2 linked regions of the Astyanax mexicanus genome follow. The protein of the gene in region 1 purifies or fractionates together with the protein of each later gene. This does not show direct contact. Links are inferred from orthologs where the notes say so. Each region holds a gene or a part of one and is shown in the gene's direction. Other genes may lie near its edges.

Evidence for each region. The genes of interacting proteins can lie anywhere in the genome.
Region 2: the proteins of usp4 (region 1) and dcp1b purify together in Homo sapiens (co-immunoprecipitation; 3 studies listed by BioGRID and IntAct, with this or other methods). This does not show direct contact. The link is inferred for Astyanax mexicanus from reciprocal best matches to the Homo sapiens genes USP4 and DCP1B.

Annotation. Positions count from the first base shown.
Region 1 is NC_064412.1:15,130,561-15,140,989, forward strand, and holds the start of usp4 (ubiquitin carboxyl-terminal hydrolase 4), read left to right. Parts: upstream 1-4,225; 5' UTR 4,226-4,261; coding exon 4,262-4,410; intron 4,411-5,975; coding exon 5,976-6,103; intron 6,104-6,523; coding exon 6,524-6,654; intron 6,655-6,782; coding exon 6,783-6,909; intron 6,910-7,021; coding exon 7,022-7,167; intron 7,168-7,322; coding exon 7,323-7,384; intron 7,385-7,481; coding exon 7,482-7,628; intron 7,629-7,804; coding exon 7,805-7,922; intron 7,923-8,074; coding exon 8,075-8,248; intron 8,249-8,676; coding exon 8,677-8,835; intron 8,836-9,289; coding exon 9,290-9,514; intron 9,515-9,716; coding exon 9,717-9,800; intron 9,801-9,945; coding exon 9,946-10,040; intron 10,041-10,124; coding exon 10,125-10,307; intron 10,308-10,429. Other genes in the region: emc3 (ER membrane protein complex subunit 3), read left to right, coding at 1-123, 404-461, 589-682, 814-918, 1,064-1,145, 1,307-1,386, 1,557-1,639, 2,000-2,128.
Region 2 is NC_064409.1:1,378,123-1,388,551, reverse strand, and holds the start of dcp1b (mRNA-decapping enzyme 1B), read left to right. Parts: upstream 1-5,099; 5' UTR 5,100-6,162; coding exon 6,163-6,315; intron 6,316-8,259; coding exon 8,260-8,300; intron 8,301-9,284; coding exon 9,285-9,412; intron 9,413-9,427; exon of another isoform or gene 9,428-10,429. UniProt on the Homo sapiens protein: May play a role in the degradation of mRNAs, both in normal mRNA turnover and in nonsense-mediated mRNA decay. May remove the 7-methyl guanine cap structure from mRNA molecules, yielding a 5'-phosphorylated mRNA fragment and 7m-GDP.

The DNA of each region.
Region 1 (10,429 bases):
CATTCGCCTTTGGGTGGTCTTACCTATAGTGTTCATCACCTTCCTTGTTGGAGTCATTCGACATTACGTCTCGATTTTGTTGCAGAGTGACAAGAAACTCACACTAGAGCAGGTTTCTGACAGGTAATATGCTTATATTGCTTTTGCACTTACGCTCACTGTTTTGTCAGGAAGCTTAAACATTAAACACTTAACCAACTAAATAATTATTACCTTTCTTTTTAGCGTGAGTTAAACATGATATGCTTTACTCTTGCTCAGCTAATGAAAAGAAGCTCAGACCTGTGGATATCACACAAGTGCTAAGATACCCTGGTATAGTTTAGCATGGCAGCTAAAGTGAATAAACTGTGAGTACAAATGGTATGCTAACATTCAATTATGTATCATGTCTCATATATAGCCAGGTTCTCATCAGGAGCAGAGTATTAAGAGAAAATGGAAAATACATCCCCAAACAGGTGTGTTTTTTTAATTACATTCTCTGTAAGTTTTTACAATTATTAAGTGATTTAATTTATATTTATTCTGCGTATGTATACAGTTGCACATAATATTTACACTTAATTTATTTTTGTTTTCTTGTAGTCCTTCTTAATGAGGAAATTTTACTTCAATAACCAAGATGATGGGTTCTTTAAAAAGACAAAAAGAAAGGTGGTTCCTCCCTCTCCAATGACTGGTATGTGGGGCTATCTTATGCAGGACTTTTGCTTCACTGACATTTTAGTTAATTTTTCTGATTTTTCTGATATTCATATTCTTGAAATGTTTAATTAAATATTAATTTAACCTGTGGATATATCATTACAGACCCCAGCATGTTGACAGACATGATGAAAGGCAATGTAACAAATGTTCTTCCCATGATCCTCATTGGTGGCTGGATCAACTGGACATTTTCTGGGTTTGTTACAAGTAAGGAATGTTTTTAATTTGAACAAAAATTATATTTATTTGCTTGTTGGATTATCAGAATGAACAGTGACACCATGTAATAACATATAATATGTATTTTGTCAGTTGGTCTGTACACTAAGCAACAAAAATATTCTCTTCTTAGCTAAAGTACCATTTCCGCTCACACTCCGTTTTAAGCCAATGTTGCAGCAGGGTATTGAGTTGCTCTCACTTGATGCATCTTGGTAAGTAGTTTCCAGATACAATTTTATACGAACACACCCAATTTGTATTGTTGTTGTTACTTTTGTGTATCAGTGCAAATAATGTAATGTCATAACTGGTGCAGTTAATATGGTAACCAGTAAGGTTGTGTCATAAGTATTCTTGCTATTTACATCCATAGGGTAAGCTCTGCATCCTGGTATTTCTTGAATGTTTTTGGCTTAAGAAGCATGTATTCTTTGATCCTTGGGCAAGATAATGGTAAGAAGCTTCCTTTCTAATTTATGATGCATTTTCTCAATTTTATATTGATGCAGATACAGTTTTTAAAAATTGTTTGATGGGGTTGTTTTATTGCATTTAAGGCATTAAGGTTTGTGTTTGAATGCTTTTAGTAAAGAAACTATTAACAAGTTATGTTACTGTTATAGGTGCGGATCAGTCTCGAATCATGCAGGACCAAATGAGTGGTGCTGCCATGGCAATGCCTGCAGACACAAACAAAGCATTTAAGGTAACTGGACAAAATGATGTTAAGTTATATAAATTATTTAAATGTTTTGTGGGGTTACATCTTTGCCTTATGATTTGTTATGTACTGGAATTCTGTAAAGATGCTTTGTAATCACAACAGTTTGTAAAAAGTGCTATACAAAAGTATTAACTTTGATAAAATGCCTTAAACAACACACAGTCAATATGATCAATGTGGAGAATTCTTATGAATTTGAGAAAAAAAAAACACATTCCAGTTTTTAGCACACAGTAAAGGCCAGAGCAAACTTACCCAACAAGCCTAGATATTGATTTGTCACTTTAGCTACACTTAATGTTGCAGAATGTTCTATAACTCTCACTTTTATCTTGTCCTCAGGCAGAATGGGAGGCTTTGGAGTTGACAGACCACCAGTGGGCACTAGAGAGTGTGGAGGAGGACCTGATGAGCAAGGACTTGGACCTGTCTGGCATGTTTAGCAAAGATTTGCCAACAGGAATTTTCTAATGGCCTGTTACATTAAGGAACTTAAATCTCATCAGCCATAATCTAATTATAATTATATTATTTAAATATAATTATAATTTAAAAAAAATGTGTGGACTGGTTTTGGAACTGATCAGACACCTGTTAGTTCCTGATGACTTGCATAAACCTCACTGCAACATATCACATGTGCATGCACTGTTTCATTTTTTTCATTCATCCCATGCTTTTTGTATTATAGAAGTAGTTTAGATTATGATTTTAAGCTTAACGTTTTAACTTAACTCTTTTTCAGTTGCTACTTGTAATAGAGCAAAAATACAGTCACACTACAATGCAACCCTTGGGGGCTGTTGTGGCATCAGGTAGTATATATCGTGAAACTATTTTTACTGCTGAGCAAACAATGTACGAGTTTGATTATAAATACACTTGGTTGAGTTGAAAGCAGTGTTAAACTGAACCAGGTGGAATGAAAATAAGATAATACAGCTTACAGTAGTATTACACCCTGGTCTGATCATAAACACCATTATTATAATGTATTTTTGTTTCCTTTTAAAGCATCCATGTAGGTTTTGTTTTATTAGACCAGAGGATTAATGGGACCATGGTTAATTGGAGGAATTTTAGAAAGTGGACCAAGCCAAAACTACTGAGGTTCAGTCATATGTGTCTGACCATTATGTTTGGGATCACTAGTGCTTCCCTGATGGACAGCAGCTTAGTGTGGTCCTACTATGCCCCTGATCCTTGTCTGTTGTGTATTAAAGTACCCGTAGTCTGGTAGTGTCTCTAACATTTCCAAAAGGCATGATCCATTGTTGTGCTTAGTTTTGTATTTATTTAATTAGTTTTGTAACATTTTTATTATGTTTTGTAAAGTGACTTTTGACACCCTCGTACAGTTGCAGGAAATGTTCACCCATAATAGAACTTGTTTTACCAAAACTGTGTTTGTGTCATAATTAATTGTGAGGTAGAGTGATTTTTTTTTTATTCTGAACCACCAGCAACTTGTTGTTTTTTTGTTGTACACTGTGGAGCATATTGCATGAGCAGATCTAGAATGTATGGTTGCCTATCACTGCTACTTAGGGGATAAGGAAACTCACGTATAATAAATACAATGGCAAGATTGTAAGTCATAAGAAGAAATGTAAGTCATGCTAAGTGACTTAGCTAGTGTGCCATAAGTGTAACAGACTTCCATATAACTGACTTAGTGTATCATAATTATGACTTCTCATAGACTACTAAGAAACACATTATTTTGACTTATATACTATCTGTATGATTATTTTTAATGTGGGTTCTATTATCTCCACAAGCAGGGGAGACATAGCCGTGTATTTTTCAGAACATATTACAGACACTGCTAATCTGTGTTACTGGATATCCAAATCAATTTCTGTAGTACCACCAGAGAAGTCATTTTGGTATCTACTGTCATAAATGTTAGTTTTATTAACAATATACTCTTTTATTGTAATGATTAATTTATTTCTTCTCAAAAACATTTAACCCTCTACAGTATGGTATTGTCCTGCCTTCAAGCAACAAACCACTTTTTTGATTATTACACTGTCTCCTAAATGTTAAATATGAAAAGAAGTATATTTAGAAAATGTATTTTTGCTATTTTTGCTTTTTATTTACCTCAATTATTTTTATTTGTTGCCTCTGTTTGATCATAAGGCAATAATGCTGAAGCAGTGGTCCACATTTGTTTGATCGATATAACAAGGCCCCACCAAACGAGTTTTATAGTTAGATAGCTAGCTAGTTGGCTGGCATAGGTTAGTAACAAAAAAGTAATAACAATATTTTGATAGATGAACAAAGTCTAAATACTCTTCTAGTCAAAAACAATTGTCTTTTGTAGCCAAGTTTGCATATGTGCATTATTTAACAGAGTATTTAAGAGGGTTTGATTATTACTGAAATAAAGTTAACTATTTCCTTCTCGTTCCACTCATACCTTTCTATTAATATAAATCTACTTTAGTATTATGAATACATTTGGATGCAGTCCTGCTGCTGGGTTTACTTGCTGGGCTGGTGCGGTGCGTTTACTAGCTTTTAGCCAGCCGGGCTAGCGCGCTCTCCCTACAGCTGCGCGCCCACACGCGCTCCGGGTTCACTCACTGCACGATGGCGGAGGGAGGCGGACCCGAGTCGGGGAACGCTTCGGACCCTGATGCGGAGCCCGGGCCGGCTCAAGCGGCGGTACCTTCTATCGACAGTCAAAAACAGACGATAGGATCATCGCTGAAGACCACACTGCGAAAGGGAGATGAATGGTGAGACTATGAATAAGTAGGGCTGGATTTAGAGTGGAGCAAAGTTAGCAAACCTGCTGCTGTAGCCTCGGCTAGGAGCCCTCCTCAGGCCTACCGCTTCACTACGGGCACGGAACTATTAGATATCTAGCTATGCTATGCTAAGACAGCTAAGCTAACTAGTTAGCTTGCTGGGCTTTTTAAAGCTAACAGTGAAGTAATTTGGTGGTTATAGTATTTGCCTCACTGGCAAGGTTATTAACTATTAGAATATTTGGATATTTTGTCCAGCTGTGTGGTAGTTGGCTAAGATAACCAACAGCTAGCTATATGTTTGAACTAATGTTAGCTAACTAGATAGCTTAGCTAGTCGGCTACACTGTTAGCTAGCTAGCTAACGTTACCGGTATGTGTCACACGTATTCTCAGTATTCTCTCATTAGCCACCCTACGCTGTCTTAGCTAGGTAAGCTAACGCTAGCTAACTAGTAATCTTTCTAAACTTATATAAATTGGACACATTCTTTGGCTAGCTAACCTAGCTACAAATTATTTAGTTATTTATCAGTGTGCTGTTCAAACCCAGATAGGTTGTAGCTAGCTAATTCTGTTAGCTAGAATTTTCTTATAAGGAGTTGCTGGCAGGTTGGCTAGCTAACATTACGTAGTTAGCTAGCTTAGCTTAGCTTGCTCGCATGCATGATATTATCAGATAGGTTAGCTTGCTTGCTTGTTAGCCGGCTACATGGGGAACTAAGCATTAAAATAGATAGATAGGTTAGCTAGCTGGCTAGTTAGCTAATTTATAGACACATAATTTTGTAGCCAGGCTGTTCTGTGTGGTCAGCTAGATAGATAAGTGCACATATCAGTCATGTTAGTTAGTAACATACGCTAGCAAGCTACTGCTTTGTCATGGGCACTGGATAACACCCAGTGCCTGTGCAAACTGGCAGCCAAAGACAGATAGTCCGTGGCAAATAACCTTAAAAAGTGAGTAAAGTTAACTAGATTAGTTGGCTGTCACACAATGTTAACCTATATCGTCGTAACGTCACTTTATATTTGTAGCTACAGTCAATCAACAGACATGCCCGCCTGCTTGACCGGCCGGTTTAGCTGTCAGTCAGTAAAGTTAGCAGTGTGCTGCCTGGTGGGTTTTTAGCTATCCTAGCTAATTTAACTAACCATATGACAGTGGTTTTCTTGATATGGCTTCATGAGCGTTCCCATTCTAGATTATGTCCAAAGACCAGCCCAACTTAAAACAAAACCACAAACAAAATAATTCAGGTGCCTTAGTCAAATGGAATCCTTTGCTAACAAGCTTATGCAGTAGAACAGGTTCCTGGTTTAGAGACGATTAAGGATTTCTATTTCAGTTTCTATATTGGTGATGCTAAATAGTGCATTAGAGTTCACTTTTGTGTTGTGTTTTTGTGAGTAGTTAAGAATTACAACAAATGTTTACCATAAGTGAGCAAACTACCTAATCAGATTAAGATAAGGTTTGATTGTTTGCCTTTGTAAGTCTTGTAACACTAATTTAATTTAATAATCTCTACCCAACCTTCTATGTCCTGTAGGTTTTTGATCGACAGCAGGTGGTTCAAACAGTGGAAAAAATATGTGGGCTTTGACAGTTGGGATATGTACAATGTTGGAGAACATAATCTATACCCAGGACCCATTGACAACTCGGGACTGTTTTCAGGTAAGTTAATTATAAATTCATATGTATGTCTGTCTTTAGAATAAGATGTATCCTGCCACTGTCATGAAAAAAACAAAACAAAAAAAAAATGTTTCTAACTTCATTGTTGGCATTTTGTCATAAGTTGAGTCTAGTGCCTGTACTTTATATTGTTAAATGGAAAGGGCAGTTTTATGGCAGGATTAACATTGTTTGAGTAATGAGGAAAAGAGTAAAATAAAATATTATTTTAATTAAAAAAAAAAAATCATAGCCAAATGCACTGGTGGAGTTACAGTTACATACTTATTATGGCTGTTGTAATGAACACTGCTCTTAAATAGGTGTGTAATGATAGCAATAAAGATTTGGATTGTCTTTGGATTGCTTCAGTTTTAATGGGCTACATAACATTTTTTTGTCTCCTCTATTGTATTGCAGACCAAGAAACCCAAGCGCTAAAAGATCATCTTATAGATGAATTAGACTATGTCTTGGTGCCCACAGAAGCTTGGAATAAGCTTGTTAGTTGGTATGGCTGTCTGGAGGGACAGAAACCTATTGTCAGGAAGGTAAAGCACTGCCTTCGCTTAAGTCTGTACTTTATTTCGAAATATATACATTTTCTTTGTAATCACAGCACATACTTTTCTTCAGATAAATGTGTTTCTGATGCATTTTGTTTTGATGTGTCAACTAGGTGGTTGAGCATGGGATGTTTGTGAAGCACTGTAAAGTGGAAGTCTATCTGTTGGAGCTGAATCTGTGTGAGAATGACAACATGGACAATGTGGTTACACGCCATTTCAGCAAAGCTGATACCATTGGTATGAGACCTTGAATAGTATCAGTATTGTGACCAATTACAGGAAAGGCTGGAAAATACACTGATGTCATATCACAGCTGCTGATTTATAATGGTTTGTTTTCTTGTCTCAGATACAATTGAAAAGGAGATGAGGTCTCTTTTTAACATCCCATCAGAAAAAGAAACTCGATTGTGGAACAAGTACATGAGCAACACATACGAGCAGCTGAACAAGCCTGACAGCACTGTTCAGGATGCTGGGCTTTTTCAGGGCCAGGTAGGATTCTACTATTCTATACAGCTAATAATGTTCTGCTTCTTTTTGTTCAGTGCCAAAATTATTTTTTGTAACTGTCTGGTAAGCAATTGGAAAGTGCTTACATGCGAGTACTTTGATTTGTATGAGCTCATAGTTTAACTGTTTTCTTTCAGGTGCTTGTAATTGAAAGGAAGAATGAAGATGGCACATGGCCCAGACAAGCCTCTCATACCAAGTGAATATATTCAAAGTCATCATTATAAATAGTTATCCATAAATAGTATTTGATGTCACTAATTTTTATTTATTTATATGAACTAATTTGCTTTCAGGTCCAGTACAACCACCTCTAGGACTTTTACTACGTCACCGAAATTCTCTTCCAATTCGTCTGCCACTATTTCATCCACAGTGACCAATGGAGACAGCAGCAGCAATTCTAGTTACATGCTAAACAATAGCACTTCTTCTGGTAACCGGTATGTTTTCACACAGTCCCTTTTTTATGTTCTATGCATTAGGGAAAAAAAACGTTTTTAACTTTTTAATCAGTGACTTTAATCCTTTAAATCATAATCTGTCCCTATACAACTATCCTCACAATTTATTTTCTAGTTTAAAATATAATTTTTACTGACTATTTAATCTTCTTCAGGTTGGGAGGATACAACTCCTACAGCTCGTCCTACAGTTACAGAGAATCTGCTTCACAGCCTGGCCTCTGTGGCCTTAGTAATCTGGGCAACACCTGCTTCATGAACTCTGCACTGCAGGTACACACACACACACACACACACACACTTGCCTTTATATGTTGAGTCCCCCTAAACTCAATATAGTACATACATAGTTGTCAGCATAGTATAAACATGCACTTATCTATGATGAATATACTCCCTTCTAAATCGGTGTCATTTTTCTACAGTGCTTGAGCAATTCACCGCCCCTAACAGAATATTTTTTGGAGGACCAGTATGAAGCTGAGATCAATCGGGAGAATCCGTTAGGCATGCGAGGAGAGATTGCTGAGGCCTATGCAGACTTAGTTAAACAGATGTGGCTTAGCCGAAGCAGCTATGTGGCTCCCCGCACTTTCAAAGTAAGTAAAGCAGCTATGCTGAACGCATTACATTCAACCTGTTTATGTTAAAATTAGTATGAATTTTCAGGTAAAGCCAACAGTTTTCACTAGATTGCATCAGAGATCAGTGATACAGTACATGTCATGACTTTAATAATGAATTCCCTGCATCTAAGACTGGAGTAAAATTATTTTATCAGGCAAATCGGTGCAGCTTTTTTAGACAATATTTAAAAATTGGTTACCGTCTTGAAAGATGCCATATTTAGTTTCTGAAATAAAAGGGTGTCTTGTATCTTTTGACTTGCACTGTATTGTGCAGCACTATTCATACAAATAGCTCATACATGTTTAGCCAGTTGTGGACAATCAAAATTTGTAGCACAGTCTGCCAGGACTGCAGTAAAAATTCTTATCCTGGAGGTTGACGTTTTTTCTTTGTGCAGACACAGGTCGGACGCTTTGCCCCCCAGTTCTCAGGGTACCAACAGCAGGACTCTCAGGAGCTGCTGGCCTTTTTGCTGGATGGCCTGCATGAAGACCTTAACCGTGTCAAGAAGAAGCCTTACTTGGCCCTAAGAGATGCAGAGGGCCGGCCTGATGAGGTACTTCAATAACCAATACTACTTACTATGATTCTCACACATCCTGAATTTCTATGTGTTTTTTTCCTTTTCTTCTCTGCCGTTTCATATTCATTAAAACCAATATGACAAATAGAGCAGTGGGGTTCTAGAAGTGTCAATCATTAATATTTATGTTTGAGTTCTAGATGATAAACCACACATTATGGCAATTCAAAGAATGACCTAGAAGGACATTCATGTACATATTTTGAGGAGTCTTTTTAAAAACAATAACAGGGCTTCAGGTTGTTAATGACTAGGTTGATTGCATGGACATATATATTTTCTTCTAATTTAGTGTTTAAATATAAAATAGTGTTAGTCAGTTTTAACCTGCAGGACAGTGCCTTTCGTCGCATTACATGTGCATTTGTTTTATATTCTTTCATGAGTTTTTTTTCTTTGGTTGATTTTGCTTACTTTACATTCACAGATTGTAGCTAAAGAGGCCTGGACAAACCATCGGCTCCGAAATGACTCCATCATTGTGGATATCTTTCATGGCTTGTTCAAGTCTACCTTAGTCTGCCCTGAGTGCTCCAAAGTGTCTGTGACTTTTGATCCTTTCTGCTACCTCACGCTGCCCCTGCCCATGAAAAAGGACCGCACCATGGAGGTGATCCTGGTTTGTGCCGACCCTCTATCCAGACCCACAAAAGTAAGTTTATATAGGATTGTACTTATTTTCTCCAGCTTTTGTTTATATACATTGAAACGGGGTGGTTATTGTGTGCTTGTTGAATAGCACTACTTTACTAGTGCAGAAGCATTTTGGTTTTGTTGTTTTGCTAAAAGTGGTTAGATAATATGAACTGAAGGTCAAATCATATTTTGATTTTCCCTGTTTTCTGTCCTTTAAGTACCGTGTAGTTGTCCCGAAAATAGGCACAGTGGCAGACCTGTGCAGTGCTTTGTCAAAACTGTCTGGAGTTCCTGCAGAGAATGTAAGATTTTAAATGTTTGATCTTTTCAATGTTCTGCTATTTTTTCTCATTTATACCCAGTTTATATAGGATTCAAAGGCTGCTTTAATATTAGTTTGCATCAGAAAACATTCTGAAGTTTTGAGCTTTTCTCACCCTTTTTTAGATGGTTGTGGCAGATGTTTACAATCATCGTTTCCATAAAATCTACAGAAAGGATGAAGGTTTAAACCACATTGTAGACAAAGACATCATCTTTATGTAAGTTGGACACAGGACTCGGATTTTTTTTTTTTTTTCAGGCTGGTGAATTTGTGTAATTGACAAGTTGCTTATTTGTTGTAGCTATGAGGTGTTGGAGGAGGACAGTGAGCGAATGAATTTGCCAGTGTACTTCAGGGAGAGACACATGAAGCACAGCGGAGGCTCTTCAGGCACCATGTTGTTTGGGCAGCCTCTCCTCGTCACTGTTCCTCGCCACAATCTCTCCCAAGACACATTGTATGAGCGTGTACTGGAGAGAATCGGGTGGGTGCTTTACTTGGATCACTTTTATTGTTGAATGTTTCCCCTTAAGTTCTCTTAGTGTCCCAAAGTAAATGAATGAAATTGGACAAATTATGAATTTCCGACTGCTGAAAAGACAAACT
Region 2 (10,429 bases), on another chromosome or scaffold:
TCTATCTGTTATTCGTTCTTCTTATTGTTTGTTCTGGAGGAGAAGGATCTGATGGATGGATGCAGCAGCAGCCACGAGAATAAGAAGAAAAAGATGATGATGATGAAGAAGAAGAAGAAGAAAAAGACGAGGAGAAGGAGAGAGGGAAAGAAGAGAAAATGAACAGAGAAGAAAAATAGAGAAGGTAGAAGAAGGTAAAAGAAGAAGAAGAAGGCAGGGAGAGGAGGGCTGGCGTATTCCAGATTCCAGATCTCACGGGGTTAAATCTTCTCCACTGATGGATTCCATGTGCGCTTCAGCCGCTTCAGCCGCTCCTGCCGCCGCCGCAACCGCCGCTGCTGCTCCCGGGGACGGGGGTCGGACCGCTCGGTATAACGGCTCGTGCCGAGTCCATAACGGAGAGAGGGAGTGAGAGTGAGAGTGAGAGAGAGAGAGAGAGAGAGAGAGAGAGAGAGAGAGAGAGAGAGAGAGAGAGAGAGGGAGGGAGCGGGAGGGAGGAGGAGAAAAAAGAAAAGAACGGAAAAAAAACGCAGGAGTTTCTCGGTGGCCTTTGCGGAGAGGAGAGCGCGCGGCTCGCCTCTGCTGCCTCTCTGCAGTATAATACTGGAGTGAGAGAGAGAGAGAGAGAGAGAGAGAGAGGGAGAGAGAGAGAGGAAGGGGGGGCTTGGTTCGTCACCCCCTCCTCTCTCTCTCTCTCTCTCTCTCTCTCTCTCTCTCTGTACTGTAGACTCTCTGACTGCTTCCAGATGTTGCTGCGCTACAGAACTCCAGATTATAAATTCTCCACGATTTTCCACACGTGGGGAGGAAACTGTGGAGCTGGTGGAGGTGGAGAAGGTAGGAAAGATTGTGGAGTTGCAGGAATGGAGGAGGTGGTGGAGGTAGAGGAGGTGGAGAAGGTGAAAGAGGTCCAGAGGTGGTGCAGAAGGTGTTGGAGGTGGATGAAGTAAAGGAGATGGTGGAGGTGGAATATATGGTGAAGGTAAAGGAGATGGAGGAGATGTTGGAAGAGATGGTGGAGATGCAGGAGGTGGTGGAAAGGGAGGAGCTGGTGGAGGTGCAAAAGGTGGTGGAGATAGAGGAGATAGTGAACATGTAGGAGGTGGTGTAGAAGGAGGACATGGAGGAAATAGAGGAAGTGGTGGAGGTAAAGAAGGTGCAGGAGGTGGAGATGATAGAGGTGGTGAAAATGGAAAAGGTGAAAGAGGTGGAGTAGATGGTGGATTTGGAAGAGGTGGAGGAGGTGAAGGTGTAGGAGGTGGAGAAGGTGAAAGAGGTGGAGGAGATGATGGAGGTGCAGGAGGTGGGGTAATTAGTGGAGGTGAAGAAGGTGTAGGAGGTGGAAAATGTGAAAGAAATGGAGTAGATTGTGCATTTGGAAGAAGTGTAGGAGGAGGTGGAGGAGATGGAGGAGATAAAGAAAGTGGTGGAGGTAAAGAAGGTGCAAAAGGTGGAGATGATAGAGGTGGTGAAAATGGAAAAAGTAAAAGAGGTTGAAAAGATGGTGGATTTTGAAGAGGTGGAGGAGGTGAAGGTGTAGGAGGTGGAGAACGTGAAAGAAGAAAGTAGATAATGGATTTGGAAGAGGTGTAGGAGGAAGTGGAGGTGAAGGAGGTGTTGAAGATGGAGGAGTTGGTGGAGTGGTGTTGGAGGAGGAGGTGGAGGTGCAGAAGGTGGAGGAGATGGTAGAGGTGCAAGAACTGGTGGCATTGGTGGAAATGATAGAGGTGGTAAAGGTGCAGTAGTTGGTGGAGATAACTCCTTAATAAGCCATAGCTATGCATTTTGATCTGTTCTCTCTTAGTTGTGACCACAACTTATACTTTTTTACATGATGTCACCTATAAAAAATGTAATATATATATATATATATATATATATATATATATATATATATATATATATATATATATATATATATATATATATACACCTATAAAAAATAATAATGTGTGGCCATGACTTATTAAGGTGTGGGGTGTTAAGGTGTTTTTCTCTGAACTCCGTGCTCCTCCATTAATTTTAATCCCGTCCGGACGCACATCTCTGAGTTTCCTCTTCTCGTGTTTTTATAAAATAGCTATTTGTCCACTGCTGCGCACCGTAGTTACACTTAAACACTTTGGGTGCCAGGGTTTCCACGGAGATCCACGTAAAAAAAAAAAAAACACAAAAGCAAGTGGAAATGGAGGAGCTATTGAACTCTGTGATGTCACGTGATAGAGAAAAAACCTTAAAAAGCCTTAACGAGCCTAAAACTCACTGGTCCTCCTGTTTTTTTTGTTTTTGTTTTTTTTTTTGCAGTCCGAATGCAGGAGTTTTATCACTGAGTAGAAGAGTGAAATATTTTACACAGAGAAAATAATGCAACTTGGAATGAGATGCAGTGAAATATAAAGATATGAACTCGGGAAAAGAATAAAGATGATCCTGCTTTCTAGGAATTGCTGGATTTCTCAGTGCTCATAACAACAATATTTAACTGGCTGGACTCAGTGTAAGTTCTGATTAGCTCCTCCCTCTTCTTTCTTTTCTTTCTTTATTTCTTTTTCTTTTTTTCTTTTTTCATCCCCCTCTCCTGCTGCACTGCGGTCGTGATGGAAGAGGGTTTGATAAAGCGTCTGGCAGGGCCTGGGAATCTGTGCGGGATGGTTTAGGATCTGTCATCGTCGAATGCCTTATTACCAGAGTTTGAGTTTAGCAGCAGGACTTTTCCTCTTGGCCCTGGGAAAATTTCCCATTCTCTCTAGAGACCCCACTACACGACACCCCCCCCCCTCCACCCAAACCCCCAACCACTCCAAACACCACCTCCACCCGAAGCCTTCAAACACCAAACACACACACTTCAGACTGTAGCTTCCCCCCAAAAAAAATCACACAGCATTAAAAACATCTCAGTGATAAAACCTCCTGATGAACACGTCTGAACTCACGTCTGTTAAAAAGCCTCTCTCTAAAAAAGAAAGAGGACTTTTATCAGCACATGATGGAAGTGTCCTACTTACAGAGCCCACATTCACCCTTCCCCATGAGATCCACTTACAACATTTGTCTGGTTTTATGCATCAAAGTATATTCATGCACAGATATACAGCACCAGTCAAAAGTCTGAACACATTTCTTCTTTTGTCTATTGTGTTTCTTTTCTTTTAATGATTTTTTTACATTGTAAAATTAATATTAAAGACTATATTAAAGCTGTACATGAACATGTGTGGAATGATAATGTATGATAAATAGCAACATTAAGCTTTAAGGACAGATCTGCACAAAAAAACTACATATATTTATATTAGCCAGTGGCATATTATGCATGTGACTGCTTTTCTACCTGTTGGCGGCGCCCCCGGTGGTCTGTGGTGGTATTGCTACCCTAAACATCGTTATAACGTATGCGCAAAAAATGTATTTCTTAATGGACTTTTGTAAACAAAAATCTTGATATTGTTCAAATATATTAGCGCTTCTCGTTTATGATTCAGACTTTTATTTTTTTACATAAGAACTTCATTTTTATTTGTTTAAATGTGTTGTTTTAAGTGATGTGTTGCTATTGTTTGTAAAAAAAATGTTTACAAATAATAAACAGAACACTTTAATCTTTAATCGTATTGTTCTTTTATGTATAAGCATAATTTTTTTTTATTCTTATGGGTACAATCAGGCAACATTTTGTCAGCTAAGTCAACATAACATTAGAAAAGAGTTAAATTGCTCAACAAAGACACCTAAGCGGAGCCACAACCCACAACTGTGCAATTAACAGGAGTGAGTGCCAGTAACAGGAGTGATTTTTTTTTGTCATAAATATCAATTATTTGAACATGCAGTCTATAACCATTTCTTTAAAACAAATATTTTCTTGAGAGAAAATCAAAGGAATTAGTGAACTTGCTTAGACTCAGAGTTAGAATACTGAGAATTAAAAAAAATATATTAAAAAATATGTTTAATTTGGAAAAAACAAGCAAATGGTACCCATTCAGTGGAATAGCCCAAATACAAATTACTTGTTTATTTTAAGCTATATTGCAGAATTTCCTCTAATGCCACACTCGCTTCAACAGAAAACTGAATTGCACTAAAATATAAATATATAGGATCAAAGAGTTCATCATTACTGTCTCCAGCTCATTTAACCACCTCTTTTATTTACTGATCAATTCTAAACTCTGCTTTATTTCCTCGGCTCTTCACTCACTGCTTAGCAACTGCTGCTGCTATCACCACCATCACCACCTCCACCGAGAAGATTCAGAGCTTTCTTTAGCTCTGTGACAAAACTGGAGATATTCTGAATGTAAAGATTCAGAAGCCGTGGGGAAACTCAGTAGATGCAGCTTTCATTTTCCAGCAGGACTTGGCACACTGCACACACTGCCAAAAGTACCAATTAGTCTTATATAATATTCTAATTTTCTGACAAAAGCTAACCATCATGTAAACACTCATCACAATCAGCTACACCTTTGTTTGCTGAAAGGTTATTCATTTTATTCGCTTAGTGGTTCAGTAGATAATATGAGCTAGTTAGAGTGGATTATCATTATTATCATTATTTAACTAACCTATTCAAACCTGAATTATTTCCAGTGATATATATATATATATATATATATATATATATATATATATATATATATATATATATATATATATATATATGAATGTTTTTTTCTGTCTGCAATGCATTTAAAATGATCAATAAATAAACTTTATATATTAATTAATATAATATTATTTGGATTTGTAATGTCTACTGCAGCAAAACAATAAAAACATTGTATGTTCATTCTACACATATTTTATATGAATTTTGTTTTACAAATAATTCCTAAGCAGTAAAATAAACTTAATTCATCAATAAATAAATTATTATTTGATTTCTATGTTTACTGCATGAAAATATATATATATGTTTTTTTGTTTTAACATATTTATAAATGTAAAAAAAGCTGAATGAGAAGACTGGTGTCTTTAAACACACACACACACACACACACACACACACGCACACACTCACTCACTCACTCTCCTCACTGTGAGCGGCGGGCGGTGCTGTTCTCGGCCGGGTGGGGGCGCTGTGCTCCGCGGGTCTCCACAGATCCGCCGCTTCAGTTCAGGAGAAGAAGAGGAGAAGTTACAGCGAGATGTTGCTGGATGAAATAAACCGGATTAAAGCGCTTTTAAACCGGAGTAAATAACTCCAGTTCTTATTTCTGCTGTATGTAATACTGTGTTTATCTGAGGAGCCGCTCCGGAAAACAGCCGGACTTTTATTCCTGTAGTTTTATTAACGAAACTGCGACCAACACAACACTTCACCCTAACGCTACAGACTGAGAGCGTGAGACAGCTCTGAACCCCCTACCGCTGGACTAAGGTAAGAGTGAGACAGCTCTGAACCCTCCACCGCTACAGACTGAGAGAGAGAGACAGCTCTGAACCCTCTACAACTGGACGGAGGAGAAAGAGAAACAGTTCTAAACGCCGCTGGACTGAGGAGAGAGTGAGACAGCTCTGAATTTCCCGCTGGATGGAGAGAATGAAACTGGTCTGAAAAAGTGAGACAGCTCTGAGCGTGTCTGAACTGAGAGAGTGAGACAATTCTGAACCCCCTACTGCTGGACTGAGGGAAGAGTGAGACAGCTTTGAACGCCGCTGGACTGAGATATTGAGATAGGTCTAAATTTCCTTTTAGGACCTAGATTGTGAGACAGCTCTGAGAAAGTGAGACAGCTCTGAATGCTGCGGGACTGAGAAAGTGAGACAGGTATGATTTTACTTCTGCACTGAGAGCGTGAGACAGCTCTGAACCCCGCTGGACTGACAGAGTTTGACAGATCTTAATTTCCCCTTTAAACTGAGAGTGTGAGACAGCTCTGAGAAAGTTAGACAGCTCTGAATACCGCTGAACTAAGAGAGTGAGGCAGCTCTGAATTTCCCCCTGGACTGAGAGAGTGAGACAGCTCTGGAACCCCCTGGTATGAGAGAGTGAGACAGTTCTGAATTTCCCTCTGCACTAAGAGAGTGAGACAGCTCTAAATTTCCCTCTGGACTGAGAGTGTGAGACAGCTCTGAATTTCCCTCTGGACTGAGATAGTTAGACAGCTCTGAATTTCCCTTTGGGCTGAGAGAGTGAGACAGCTCTGAACAGCCATGAGCTCATTTGGTGGGGTTACCTGTCTCACCACCAAGGGTCTGGACATCAGTCTGGCGGCTCTGCAGAGACAGGACCCCTATATTAATAATATCGTGGATGTGGCGAGTCAGGTCGCCCTCTACACCTTTAATAACGAGACTAACGAGTGGGTGAGTCTACAGCAACACCATAGCAACCATTTAGCAACCAGCTTGGAGACCATCGCAACACCTTAGCATACACCTAGCAACCGCTTAGCAACAACATAGCAACCACCACAGATACTGTAGCAACACCTTAGCAACCACCTAGCTACCACTTAGAAACACCATAGCAACCACTTAGCAACCAGCACGAATAACATTGCAACACCTTAGCACACACCTAGTAACCGCTTTGCAACATCTAAGCAACCACTTAGCAACACCATTGCAACCACCACAGATACCATACATAGTAACACCCTAGCAACCACTTAGCAACCAGCATGAATAACATTGCAACACCTTAGCATACACCTAGCAAACCACCAGGAACACCTCAGCAACCACTTAGCAACACCTTAGCAACTGCATAGCAGGGAAGAGCCTAATGCAAAAAATATATATACATTATCAACATTAACATTTTAATATTTTGACATTATAGTTATTATAGCTTTTAGTAAAATGTGTTTTAGGGAGGGGGTTGGGGCCTAGTGCAATATAGGATATTACTTTTACTTTTATACTTTAAGTAGTTTTAAATCCAGTACTTTTTAAACACTTTTACTAAAAGAGTAAAAAGCTTGAGTTGATTCTTCTTTAACTTTTACAGAAGTATTTTATTAAATTCTAGTATTTATACTTCTACCTACAGAGTATGAATGGAGATACTTTTCACATCTTTGTCTTAAAATATAAAATTAATATTAAAGCTCACCTTCCGCGAAAATCCAATTTTTCTTGTTTTTTTGTGGAATACAGTAGGTCTCTCCGAGTTGAATGTGTACACCTGCACATTAAACTGTTTTGCAGCCCCCATTGTCTGCAGGAGCTAAGCAAAGAAATCCCCCCTCCCCCCCTCCGAAAAACGGGTGAATTTTGAATTATCTTTCTGCCTACGTAGGCAGAAACTCACAGACCAGCCCACCTTGGCTCGAGAAACTCCCAGAGGCGGAGCTGAAGCGACGCAACATCACCGCTCATCAGTTAGGAGGTGGGAGGCAGTGAGCGGCAGAGCGGCGGAGGGGCGTCGCAGTGCTCCTAGCCAATCAGAGGAGAGATATTTGCATGCTGTTTGCATGTATGAATATTCATGAGCAAAGCTGGAATCCGGTCATTTTGGACACACCCCTAAAACAGTCCATTAAAAAAGAGCTATACAGAGACACCTGAGCACTTTTTTTTTTACAAAAACGGCTCACATGTCATTCATTCATACTAGAGACCACAACTAGACATTTTAAAATGAAAGAAAAAACGACGGAAGGTGAGCTTTAAATAAAAATAGAATTAGATAGAAAGCTAGCTTAGCTTTCTCACTGATTTACTGCTTGTTTTAAATGCATATCGTATTGTATGCAATAATATCGCCAACATTTTTTAATATGGTGAACGATAGATATTATACCCTGTAATATGGCGCAATATCACCCACCCCTAATTATCTACTTTTTTTATCAAAAGAAAAATTCACACTGTTCTCATTTCCAATTATATATCTACTAGAGACAGATTATATCTGTCCAGTATCATTTATTTTACTTTAATCCTGTATATACGGAGATATTTAGGAGCATTATTATTATTATTAGTAGTAGTAGTATCATGATATTGTGGATCATTTACTTCTGTTACAAATCTGATAAAATTATTCTCTTTTTTTTGTATTTATCTCAGTTAGGCGTGTGCCGTATCGTATGCAATAATAAAATTTTATTTAAATTTGAATTTTGTTGCAGTAGTGTATTCTTAGATTTTTTTTACAATTCATTGTTTTGTCATGATCGCCAAGAGTATCGTTATATTGTATAAAAATACCATGAAATATCGTGATATTATTTTAGGGCCGTATCGCCCACCCCAATAAGACAGACTGAAATTAACTGACTCTTATTTTGTTCTGTTTTTCAGGAGAAGACTGAAATTGAGGGGACGTTGTTTGTGTATACGAGGTAATAAACATGATCACTATAGAGAGAGATAAGAGTTAAATAGTGGAGAAAGTGAAAAGTGCACTGGATTCATGGTGTGATTTATGAGGTGTGAAAGATGGCGGTAGTGAATAGTGCGACAGGTATGTGCAGCAGCTCCTGGAGCCGAACTCCTCATCTGTTTCAGCGCTGTTATTAAACATGTCTGCAGTACAGTGGCTGCTGAAGTGCAGTTAAACAAATCGTCTTCCTGTTCTCTGAATGCCTCTGTGATTGGGTGATGCTTCCATGCAGAAAAACAATGTACTGACAGAAACAAAGTTCTCTCACAGCAGCTTAGAGCAGATCAGAGAGGAAAATATGGAAACTTTTAGCTTTAATTACGGCATGAATTAGCTGTGGCATCGTTTCCACATGTTTCTGCAATGTTTCAACATTTATTTCTGTAATTTATTACATTTCTCCTAAAGTTCTTACTCATATTGATGATGGGATCTTTGGAGCACTATGCAGAGTCCTCTCCAGGGCTGAGAGGTTAATCAAATTCATTTGATGAATTTGGTTCTGATACATCAGCTCACAGACGCAGCCTCGTGCTGATCAACATCACCCTAAGAGCGCCATCAATGCAAACATCTACTCTCTCAGGGCTCCGGCAGCTGATGGCAAGCTGCATGACCGGGATTCGAACCAGCGATCTCCCGATAATTGTGGCAGCACTTTAGATCGCTTAACCATCGTTTTTGGTGTTTAAAGTGATTTTAAAGTATGATAATAAAATAAATTGTAGATTTTTACATATAGAGGCTCCAGAGTGAGTCTCAGTAGATTTAATAAAATTAATAAAGCTTAATGAAACAAATTGTTAGCTACATAAGAACTAAAAATCTGAGAATCATATATTTAAAGAATATCAATATTATTATTATTTTTTTTTTCTCCCCACATTGCCAGGCCCTACCCGCATCAGTTAACATTACAGTCGTTTCATTCTCTGTGTTTTAGACTCGCGTCTCCGAAGCATGGCTTTACCATCATGAACCGCCTCAGTATGGAGAACCTGACTGAACCAATCACCAAAGACCTGGACTTCCAGCTTCAGGACCCGTTTCTGCTCTACAGGAACGCTCGCTGTGAGTATTTCAGAATCATCTTCCTGTCCTCTTCCTGTCCTCTTCCTGTCATCTGCCTATCATCTTCTAGAACACCCATTTTATTGGTAGGATGTAAAATGTCCCTCAGAGTAGAGAGGTTCTGGTCACTCTGTGGAGGAGATGTAGGAGATGTATGATGGTGGGTGGAGGTGATGGAGGAGATTTATGTGCTCTGGGGGTGAGTGTGTAGTTAAGGGAAGGTAGATGATGGTGTGTAGGAGATGGAGTAGATGTATGATGGTGGGTGGAGGAGGTGGAGGTGATGGAGTAGATGTATGATTGTGGGTGGAGGAGGCGGAGAAGATGAAGGGGAGGTATGGTGGTGGATGGAGGAGGTGGAGGTGATGGAGATGTATGATGGTGGGTGGAGGAGATATAGGAGATGGATGTGCTCTGGGAATGAGTGTGTAGTAAAGGGAAGGTAGATGATGATGGGTTGAGAAGATGTATGATGGTGGGTGGAGGAGATGTAGGAGATGTATGATGGTGTTTGGAGGTGATGGAGGAGATGAGTATGAGATGTATGATGGTGGGTGGAGGAGATATATGATGATGGGTTGAGAAGATGTATGATGGTGTGTGGAGGAGATGTAGGAGATGTATGGTGGTGGGTGGAGGAGATGTATGATGGTGGGTGGAGGTGATGGAGGAGATGTATGATGGTGGGTGGAGGTGATGGAGGAGATGTATGATGGTGGGTGGAGGAGATGGAGGAGATGTATGATGGTGGGTGGAGGAGATGGAGGAGATGTATGATGGTGGGTGGAGGTGATGGAGGAGATGTATGATGGTGGGTGGAGGAGATGGAGGAGATGTATGATGATGGGTGGAGGAGATGTATGATGGTGGATGGAGGAGATGTATGATGATGGTGGAGGAGATGTATGACGTGGGTGGAGGAGATATATGATGATGGGTGGAGGAGATGTATGATGATGGGTGGAGGAGATGTATGATGGTGAGTGGAGGTGATGGAGGAGATGTATGATGGTGGGT